Linked DNA regions of Sus scrofa. The protein of the gene in region 1 purifies or fractionates together with the protein of each later gene. This does not show direct contact. Links are inferred from orthologs where the notes say so. Each region holds a gene or a part of one and is shown in the gene's direction. Other genes may lie near its edges.

What was found.
Region 2: the proteins of ITGA2 (region 1) and ITGB1 purify together in Homo sapiens (co-immunoprecipitation; 3 studies listed by BioGRID and IntAct, with this or other methods). This does not show direct contact. The link is inferred for Sus scrofa from reciprocal best matches to the Homo sapiens genes ITGA2 and ITGB1.

Annotation. Positions count from the first base shown.
Region 1 is NC_010458.4:32,411,219-32,416,901, forward strand, and holds part of ITGA2 (integrin alpha-2), read left to right. Parts: intron 1-1,176; coding exon 1,177-1,287; intron 1,288-1,638; coding exon 1,639-1,721; intron 1,722-3,986; coding exon 3,987-4,128; intron 4,129-5,283; coding exon 5,284-5,376; intron 5,377-5,683. UniProt on the Homo sapiens protein: Integrin alpha-2/beta-1 is a receptor for laminin, collagen, collagen C-propeptides, fibronectin and E-cadherin. It recognizes the proline-hydroxylated sequence G-F-P-G-E-R in collagen.
Region 2 is NC_010452.4:56,095,114-56,100,796, reverse strand, and holds part of ITGB1 (integrin beta-1), read left to right. Parts: intron 1-695; coding exon 696-918; intron 919-2,356; coding exon 2,357-2,527; intron 2,528-3,044; coding exon 3,045-3,283; intron 3,284-5,313; coding exon 5,314-5,469; intron 5,470-5,683.

The DNA of each region.
Region 1 (5,683 bases):
GAGCTGTAGCCCCGGCCTATGCCACAGCCACAGCAATGCTGGATCCAAGTCTTGTCTGCAACCTACACCACAGCTCACAGCAACGCCGGATCCTTAACCCACTGAGCAAGGCCAGGGATTGAACCCACAAGCTCATGGTTCCTAGTCAGATTCTTTAACCACTGAGCCACGACGGGAACTCCAACGTCATTCTTTCTTGAAGAAGAATGCTAGATGACATTGGCACCCCTGTTTGGCTTTTTTTTTTTTTTTTTTTCCATTTTTCAATAGCCAGAAAACCTCAAAAACTGGAAGCAGCTCATGCCTCCTGGAACACTGCAAATCCTCTACTCTCTTTACTAAAGACAAAGAGGAGATGCTGACTTGGAGCTGGATGGCCTGTTGAGTGATACATACCCCATCTATGTGCAAAGAGTAGAGCAGCTGCTAACAGCCAGCTAGGCCTGAAGTTGGGAAGCTTGGCTTGGGTGTGGGAAACACTTTTCTTTTTAGGCCACACCTGCAGCATATGGAAGTTCCCAGGCTCTAGGTGTTGAACTGGAGCTGCAGCTGCCAGCCAACACCACAGCCACAGCAACGTGGGATCCAAGCCACATCTGCGACCTACACCACAGCTTGCAGCAATGCCAGATCCTTAACCCACCAAGCAGGGCCAGGGATCAAACCTGAATCTTCAGGGATCCTATGTTGGTTTCTTAACCTGCTGAGCCACAACAGAAACTCCCTCTTGTCCACCCCTAACAGCCAGCCCTGGGCACTTTCCCTTCTAGGTTGAAATATTCTCTTCTAAAGATTTAGTTGGGACTCGTTGTCTTAGCAGTAGGAATTGGAAGACCATGGCCAATAACCCAAGAGCTGGGTTCTGACAGAGGGGTCTTTTGAACATTTAAAATGGGCACCTCATCTAAATAGTTACAGTTGCTTGTGTGTAAATAATCAGAGTACCGATGAGCCTAACTAAGAATTGCTGCTTCAGATTTTTACTGAGCCCAAGTTTTTAGGTCTTGTAGCAGTGGACAGGCTAAGAGCAGACAGAAGAGAAGTTAAGTCTTGACAATTCAAATGAGAACTATTCTGCACAATAGAGAGTGAACTGTTTTCTTCATCAATCGTGAACACATTTGTGGTCATTTCTTATTCTGCCCTAATGAACTGACTCTGTGCTTGTGTGTTCAGAAGCCCTCTGATGTTGTCAACTCTCTGGATCTGTGTGTGAACATCAGTCTGGAAAACCCTGGCACCAGCCCTGCCCTCGAAGCCTACTCGGAGTCAGCCAAGGTCTTCAGTGTAAGTGCGGTTTGCCCTTCCTGGAATTCTTACTGGCTGACAAAGTTTTGCAGTCACTGCAGTAGTGTTTGAAAGATACTTAGAACATAGCCTTTAAGTTGTTAATTTTCTAAATGAAATACAGTTACCTATATGTGAAGTTCACCAGCATGTAAGTTCCATAAAGCAGGGATTTTTGTTTTTCTTGTTCCCTGCCCTATTCCCGGGACCTCAAGCAGTTCTTGGCTCCCCATAGGTGTTCAATAAATATTTGTTGAAGAAATATATAATAATAAAGTGAATACCTTGTGCTCGCCACACACTTAAAAAAATTAAAATGATACTGATACCTATAAAATTCTTTTTTTGTAGATCCCTTTCTATAAAGACTGTGGTGATGATGGAATTTGCATCTCTGATCTAGTTCTAGATGTTCAGCAGCTACCGGCCACTCAGTAAGTTTTACTTTAAAGCTCAGTGAAACTGTAGAAATAAAAGACACATTAGATTATTTATTCACATGAATGTTTATGGAGTTTTTTTATATCAAAAAAAACCCCATCTGTCACTACTAAAGCCCTTTAAAATCTAAATTTCAAAATATCTAGGAATAAACTTAATCAATAGGGTGAGAGATCTATACTCTGAAAACTATAAAACATTGATGAATTTGAAAATGACCCAAAGAAATAGAAAGATATCCCTTGCTCTTAGATTGGGAGAATTAACATTATTAACATGTCCAGGAGTCCCTGTTGTGGCTCAGTGGAATCAAACCTGACCAGCATCCATGAGGATGCGGGTTCAATCCCTGGCCTCACTCACTGGGTTAAGGATCCAGTGTTGCTGTGAACTGTGGTGTAGGTTGCAGACATGGCTCAGATCCTGTTCTGCTGTGGCTGTGGTGTAGGCTAGCAGCTGCAGCTCTGATTTGACTTCTAGCCTGGGAACTTCCATATACCATGGGTACAGCCCTAAAAAAAAATAAAAAATAAAAATAAAAATGTATATGAAACCATAGAAGACCCCAAATTGTCAAAGCCATCTTGAGCAAAAAGAACAAAGTTAGAGGAATCATGCTTCCTGACTTCAGGCTATGCTGCAAAGCTACAGTCATTAAAAGAGCGTGGTACTGGCACAAAACCAGAAATGCAGATCAACAGAACAGAAGAGAGAGCCCAGAAATAATTCCACATGCTAATGGTCACTTAAGCTACAAAAAGGGATGCAAGAAAATACGACAGTCCCAAGAAATAGCAACAACAACAAAAAAGACAAAAGACAAAAAAAAAAAAACTTGTCAAACACCATTCAAAGTAAGAAAACTCCATAATAATCACACTTACAGAGAATACAATAACCCTAAATATTTCTGACTTCAAAATAAATTTCACTTCCTCTGAAATTAAAAAAAAAAAAGAAAATACGACAGATAAAAAGACAGTCTCTTCAATAAGCAATGCTGGGAAGGCTGGACAGCTACATGTAGAAGAATAAAATTAGAACATTATCTCATACTATATACAAAAATAAACACCAAATGGATTAAAGACCTAAATTTAAGACCTGAAACCATAAAACTCCTAGAAGAGAACATAGGCAGAACACTCTTTGACATATATCATATCAATATTTTTTTTGGATCTGTCTCCTAAAGCAGAAGAAATAAAAGCAAAAATAAACAAATGGAATCTAATTAAATTAAAGAGCTTTGCACAGCAAAGGAAACCATTGGCAAAACAAAAAGGCAACCCACTAAATGGGAGAAAATATTTGTAAATGATATGATCAATAATGGGTTAATACCCAAAATACATATATACAACTCAATATCAGGAAAAAAAATCTGACCAAAAAATGGGCAGAAGACCTGAATAGACATTTTTCCAAAGAAGTCATACAGATAGCCAACAGGCACATATAAAGATGCTCACCATCACACATCATCAGAGGTATACAAATCAAAACCACAGTGAGGTATTACCACATACCTGGCAGAATGGCTACCACCAAAAAGAACACATATAACAAATGTTAGCAAGGACGTGGAGAAAAGGGAAAACTTATGCGGAAAACTGTTGGTGGAAATGTAAATTGGTGCAGCCATTATGGAAAAAATTATGGAGGTTCCTCAAAACACTAAAAATAGAACTATCATAAGATCCAGCAATTCAACTCCTGGATATACATCCAAAGAAAACAAAAACATTAATTCAAAAAGACACATGCACCCCAATGTGCATAGCAGCATTATTTACAATAGCCAAGATAGGGAAGCAACTTAAGGGTCCATCAACAGATGAATGGATAAATAAGATGTCATATATCTATATGGAATATTAGTCATAAAAGGAATAAAATTCTGGTATTTACAATAACGTTGATGGACCTAGAGAGTATTATGCTTCATGAAATAAGTCAGACAATACTCTTATCACTTACATATAGATTCTAAAAAAATAAATGTATATAACAAAACAGAAACAGACTCACAGATAAAAAGAACAAACTAGTGGTTACCAGTGGGGAGAGGGAGAGAGGAAGGGGCAAGATAGAGGTAGGGGATTAAGAGATACAAACTATTATGTATAAAATAGAAAAGCAACAAGGATATATTGTTTAGAGCACAGTAAAGTGTAGCCAGTATTTTATAATAACTTTAAATAGAGGGTAATCTATAATGACTTTTTTTTCTTTTTTCTCCTCTTCACTTTTAACAGACAACAGCCATTCATTGTCAGCAACCAGAACAAAAGATTAACATTTTCAGTAACACTGAAAAACAAAAAGGAAAGTGCATACAACACTGGAATTGTTATTGCTTTTTCAGAAAACCTGTTTTTTGCTTCCTGGTCCATGCCGGTATGTGAGAGCACCTGCCTTAACTGTTCTTCTGCTTCCTACTTGTCAATTACCATCTTCCTTATGATCAAATCTCCGCATCCTCTGTGTTGTCTAAAGGAACATCTTCACCTTCAGTGTGATCAGTTCTAACCTGTGGCTCTCAGCTAGTTAAACCACTTGAGAACAAAGCCTGGCTGGGTATCTAGACCAGTTCTGCCGCACAGAGTGGGTCAGTTTTTCCTTCACCCTGATACTTGGCAGTAGTAGCCAGACTCTGCTGTAAACTCTCCTCAAGCCATCTGTGTGATGAGGCTGCCGAGAGGCCACACAGATGCTGTGAGCTGCACTTGCTCTGAGAAGTTAGAGTCCCACAGCTCAGCCCGAGCTTCGTAACCACAGGTTTTGCTGCTGCCAAGACGATGCATTCCAGCGAGGTCAGTTAATCATGTTGACTTGATCGCTATACCAGGAACACATTTGACCGTGGATGCCCCGCTGGGCCTCCTCTGCCACCAAGCAATGAAAAGGAGAGTAGGGGAAAACTGAGATTTTCCAGATTCACTCCTTGATGAAAGGACTCAAAAACGGTTTCATCCAATTTAAAGTCCGTGTGAACTTAATAGATTAAGTGTCTAAACCCATTCTGACGTCAGTGCTTAAATTTCTTGTGTCAAATGACAACTTAAAGAGAAAAAAATAAGCAAAACTAAAAAAGGTTCCTTAAGTTATTTAAAATATAGATTAAAAACAGTATAAGGTTTTTCTCTAGAAACTACAAATATTAAATGTATTGATAGAAAGGTATGTATTAAAGACAGCATTTCTAAATAATGGATTAAAGTTGTGCTGCAGAAATAGAATAGGATTTACTTCTGGGGAAAAGTTCAGTATTTAACCTCTCCTTTGTCTTGTTGGGCATCCTGGTTAGCAATAAAAATAGTACATTAGCTGCCTGAACAATACGTATAAGACTTTCAAATCTTGGGAGATAATAAATTACTTGAGTGTGAACCAACCTTACTGCTAAAATGTCTAGGTGGTTCATGCATCCTTCAGCACATATGTGTATCTGTGCACGTACACACACGCACACGCATGCGCGCGCGCCACACACACACACACACACACACACACTGAATACTAATTGATCATTGTTTCCTTGGTCTCATTCAGGTTGATGGGACAGAAGTGACATGCCAGATCCCTTCATCTCAGAAGTCTGTTACCTGTGATGTAGGCTATCCTGCTTTAAAGAGGGAAGAACAGGTACAACTTGTAATTCATCCTCAAATTCATCTGGCCTCTCCTCACCATTGGTGTTAATTCACCAACATACCATCTTCTTTATTAGGTACCATCATTTGATAGGCATCACACAATAACTGGCCGCATATTTAGAGGAAGTGTTTTAATAATACCTGCATGCTTTCTTTTTTTTTTTCTTTTCTTTTTTTTTTTTAGGGCTGTATCCACAGCATATGAAGGTTCCTAGGCTATGGGTCAAATCAGAGCTACAGCTGCTGGCCTACACTAGAGCCATAGCAATACAGGATCCAAGCCATGTCTTCGATCT
Region 2 (5,683 bases), on another chromosome or scaffold:
TCATTAACCACTGAGCCACGACGGGAACTCCAACACTTTTTAATTTACCATATGGAGATTCATTCTTGACCCTGTCATATAATCACTTACTGTATTAAATTCTAAAAGCCTTATTTATGGTAATAGCCAATACCTAAACTTTTTTTAAATCTCTAAGAATACTTACTAAATCTGTGCTAAATTTCTTGGTCTCCTTTTTAAGAACCTTAAAAAAAGGATTTAGTATGATGTTTTAAATATTCAAAATATTCAAAAATGCCATGAAGGAAAATGCTTCATAATACAAGAGGCTTCTAAGAATTTTTCTAAGGGAAAGTTTGGGGAAAAAAATTTGATATTTGTGTATATTCCTTGCTAGTGGCTGTTGACCATGGTGAGTAAATAATTTCACTGAAGAAATTTCTTTGAGTGGATACTCTGAATTTGAATGTGAAATGGGTAAGATGTACACATAGGTCAGTCCTGAGTATTATTGAAGTAATACATTACTAGTAATAGTAATAAAGGTATTAATACTTTTAAGGAAAACTTTAGCTTATTTTTAAGTAAAATTACATACTATGTTTTGGATAAAGGGAACACTTTGTTTAAAAACCAGAAATGAAGTATATTAGATGGTTCACCTGGTTTTTGCAATTTAACTGGTTTGACCATGTAACTTTTTTACTTAAACCTATATTTTATATGCTCTTTAGACATTTTTACAAGAAGGAATGCCTACTTCTGCTCGATGTGATGATTTGGAAGCCTTAAGAAAGAAGGGTTGTCATCCAGATGACATTGAAAATCCCAGAGGCTCCAAAAATATAAAGAAAAATAAAAATGTAACCAACCGTAGCAAAGGGACAGCAGAGAAGCTGCAGCCGGAAGATATCACTCAGATCCAACCACAGCAGTTGGTTTTGCAGTTACGATCAGGTACTTCAGTCTGATTCTATGAATATTTTGTTTCCCCTTGAGCTTTTTGACAACTTGATGTAAGTTTCTGTGAGGGTTCATTTTCACATGTGAACGGGCACTACAGTAGACGTGTTGACTACATTAACTGTTAGAAATTTTTTGCAGGTACAACAATTTGTAAGAAGAGTGTATGTGAAGTAAATGTTGCCTAATGTCCACAGTAAATTCTGTTGAAGATTCAGAAAGTATTAGATTTAATGAGTTTTAAAAAATAAACACGTCCATCTTCTGGTCTAATTCCGGAATATAAAGACAACATTTTAATGTATTTTTTCCTTTGTTTTTATTCAGTATTGTTAAAATATTAAGTGTTTTAGCAGCCCCACATCTGGAGAAAAGAAAGAGAGCACAAGCACCCTTTCTCCTCTTCCAGTTTCCAGCCGCTTCCTCTCAAGGAAACGTCCCCCCAGCTTCCCCTCCCACCCTGTCCAAAGCCTAGTTCTGCCCGACTTCTGCTTCCTGAACTCCTCTGGCAAAGCCCTGCCGCCACCTGGAGCCCTTGGGCCTGGTGGACCCTCATCAGGCCTTTTTTCTTTCTTTCTTGAAACTTTCAAGTGCTCTTCTTTTGGCTTCTGGGATAACACTGCTGCTTTTCGTCTCATCTCTTAGCAGTGATTTCCAGTGTTCTCCCTGTGTCTCCTTCCGTCCTTCCTTCCTCTTTATAGTCCACTTAATGATTGGTCTTCCTCTCATGATTTTAAAGCCATTTGTGTGGCTGTAACGTAGACTTTCTTCTTAAGTTCCAAACCCGGTTATCCAACTGCCTACTGGAAACCTATGTAGAGAAAATCGGTAAATAAAAATTTAATGACTTTTCACCCACATCTCTTGGATTTTACCTCACACCTCTGGTACATCTCTTCTCCTTCCTCTTTGTTTCAGTTCAGATCTTTATTGTCTCTCTGTTAACAGTTTCTTAAGTTTATGTGTCTAATTCATCTTTAAAACTTTTTGTGAGGTTTTCTAAAGTGCAAATCAGATTGTTATTCACTGCAAGCAGTGCGTCGCACTAGACAGCAGAGTCTTGACTTTATAACGCCAGGCTCTCAGAAGTCCAGCGAGCCCCATAGTGGACCTGCCTCACCACCCAGTCTAGTTTGTGTGGGCCCATCTGTCTGTTTGCCTCTGTTGTCCTTATAAACTCGCTCTCCGCCTGTCTTGCCTGCGGTGGACTGGGAATGCTGTCTTTTTCATCATCCCCAGGGCCTGGCGTTTTAAGTATTTATGGATGAAATGAGGACATACCCATTGAGTTACCTATGAAATGCCCAGGTTTTTTGTAAAAACTATGTCAATAAATTTCACTGTATAGTGTTTGCCTTATAAATCGACTGACTTGGTTTTTCTCATTCACTTTGGACTACTGGGAAGCTAATTGTCTAGTCCCTTTAACTAGGGGAGCCACAGACGTTTACGTTGAAATTCAAGCGAGCTGAGGACTATCCCATTGATCTCTACTACCTTATGGACCTCTCCTACTCCATGAAAGACGACTTGGAGAACGTGAAAAGCCTTGGAACAGATCTGATGAATGAAATGAGGAGGATTACTTCAGACTTCCGAATTGGTAGGAATTTTGACAAAATTAATACTTTTCATTTGTAAAAATCTGGGCAGTTTTGTTCTTCACCACATACACATGAGATAAATGGGCCAGGTTTTACCCTTGTGTTCATAAGAGGATGCACATTCCTGTGACACATCTAACAATTTTTCTGCCTCTTGTTCCTCTTACTGTAGGCTGCCATGTTATTTGACACACATTACACCACACATAGATGGTGAAATGCATGCTTGTTTTCATAGGTATTTATTCATTTGTTGATTTATTTTATAAACATGTTGATTGCTTGGATTCTATTTCATTGCTAGTTAATATGACCACACCTGCCCTGTATAACCTTAATCTCCCATCAGACCTGGATATTTTTATACAGTGATATCTTTTCCAACCCTTATTATTTCTTAAAAAAAAAGATTGACTTATAGGTGGTTACATACTTGATTTTATTTTAGTGCAACTTATCCATCTGTCCAACCATACACCCTCCATCTGTCATCACAGTCTGCATTTTCCTTCACAGGATTTGGCTCTTTTGTGGAAAAAACTGTGATGCCTTACATTAGCACAACACCAGCTAAGCTCAGGAACCCTTGCACAAGTGAACAGAACTGTACCAGCCCATTTAGCTACAAAAATGTGCTCAGCCTTACTGATAAAGGGGAAGTATTTAATGAACTTGTTGGTAAACAGCGCATATCTGGAAATTTGGATTCTCCAGAAGGTGGCTTTGATGCAATCATGCAAGTTGCCGTTTGTGGAGTAAGTGCATTCAATGTTATTTGTGTGAATTTTGTGTTATTTTGCTGTCAGAAGAAATTACCTTAATTACCATGTCATATTTGACTAATCCCTTAAATTCCCTTCAACTACAAGTGCTTCATAAAAGTATAATTGTAATGTCTCTAAACCAGGCAGTTCATTTACAGAGGGTTTTAAAGGCCAGAATGCGCACCATTTGAAATAGTGGGGCAGTTTAGCTTTAGCCTGGTGCTCTGTGTCTTTAGAAGAGACCAAGGTACCCTAGCTTTCTGGCTTTGTGCCTGAGATAGAATTGGGGTTATCAGAAGCATTAAAAATGCTTAAATAAACTTTGTCCTAGACACCATTTTCCTTTGGTAACTTTTCTTCTGCTTGTCATCTTTGAAAGGCATCTTCCCTTATCTTAGGAATTCAAAAAGAAAGAACTTTTAAAATCCTAGTTTGAAAGAATATATGAGAACGTGTATTTTGAGAAGTCATGTAATATTTGTAATTTTAATTGCAAGATTTTCAGTGGTTGTAAACTGATCTCCATTGGAGTAGTGATTAGAATTTTCTGTTTACCAGCTGAGATTTTGGGATGACCTTTTAATGATACAGGTGACGTTGAAACTAGGAAACATTGTGAGGTAGATAAAGTTCGTCTTAAGTACCTAAGACGTCTCGTTCCCTCCCCCCATTTTCCCTTATAGTACCCTGTGCCCTAGAACACCTTCCTGGACTCCAGTGCTTCTTTGCTTCTCAGCCAGTTTTTAATATGCTGCTTGATACCCGAGATGATAATATGGTATAGCAATATGATGTAGTGTTTTTATACTTCTAAGACTGTTAGGACACATCTTCAGATTTTCCATCACTGCTCGTCCACTAGGCAGTTTCCTTGCCCTTCCAGAGGCTATTTCCGTCTTCTCTTAAGGAGGGGTAATAACAGATAGACCTCACAGGGCTGTTCTGAAGTTTAAATATGACAGTCCGTACAAGGTGCCAGTAAGCAACCTAGTAAATATTAACTGCTGTGTCATCATTACTTTGACTTCTCACTGGGGTAGTTACACTTTAAGGCTAGTCTCTACTTTTAAAGGGGAAGAGAGAGATTCCAAGTCATGCCAGGCTTGATGGTCTGCTTTCTTTCCAGCCATTGCTTGTGATCCTGTTAGCAGCTCACTGTGCAGAGCGCTTTCCCTGGGCTGCCTCTACCTGTGCCTCAGCCTTGGGATGAAAACAAGCCATATCATCTGTGGCTGCTGCTCAGTGTTGCTCGTGCTGACAGAGCTGTTCCATTTACTTCTCTAAATGCAAAAGAGACAGACATTTCACTTGGACTGCCAGCATAATAAACTGAATTCCTGCCTTCAAGGAGTTTAGTCTTAGAAGGATATATACAGATGTATTGAGTAAACTTAGACACGTATGATTATAAAATTATCATAGAAGATTTTACTACTACTTTACATTCTTTACTGAATAAGGTGGAGAATAAAAAATGAACAAACAGTACTGAGGGCTTAGAACGGATAGAATTAAGTAGGGCAAGTCTTGGGAGAAGGTACTTTTTAAAAAGGAAGATGACTTTTAATATGGAGGAGGCTGATTAAGGAATTATGCACTACAGAAGATAGACCAAGGATGGATGGGAATGAGACAAAGTTGGGCAAAGTTAGGTGTGGGCCAAGACTTTTTCATTTACTCATTAAGCACCTATTGTGTGCCAAGCACTGTGACAACTGCTGGATATATGATGCACGAACCCAGATGTGGTTCCTGCCTTACACGAAGTGAATGCACCTTGTAGTGGGAGAGAGATTGACTTTAACAGAGTTTTTAAAAAAGAGCTCAGAGAAATGGACAGCTAGGCAAGTGGAGCTTTACAGTGTGCTCTCTGCCTTCATCAGCAAGGGCGTTAGCATTGTGAAAAGAGAATACAGAATTAGGTTGAAACTACAGTGGTAGCCTATACAAAGGTTAAAAGATTTATGTTGAATTATTGTGGGTAGTATTTTAAAATTGAAATCTTTTTTTTTTTTTTTGAGTCGTTGATTGGCTGGAGGAATGTGACACGGCTGCTGGTGTTTTCCACGGATGCTGGGTTTCACTTTGCTGGAGATGGGAAACTTGGTGGCATTGTTTTACCGAATGATGGACAGTGTCACCTGGAAAATGATGTATACACAATGAGCCATTACTACGTAAGTGCTTAGTTCCTCACATATCGAATGGATTCAAGTTGAATTTAGGATCAATACTAAAAAAGTACTGTGGGTGACTGTCTTAGGGGTTTTCAGGGTTTGGGGTTTGTTATTTTGCTGAGTTGGGCCCTGATCTAATGTGCAGGAAAGCTTGTGTTGCTGTTTTAAGACTGTGGCTTTGTGTTCACTTCCTGGCGGGTGAAGGGAGCTGCTG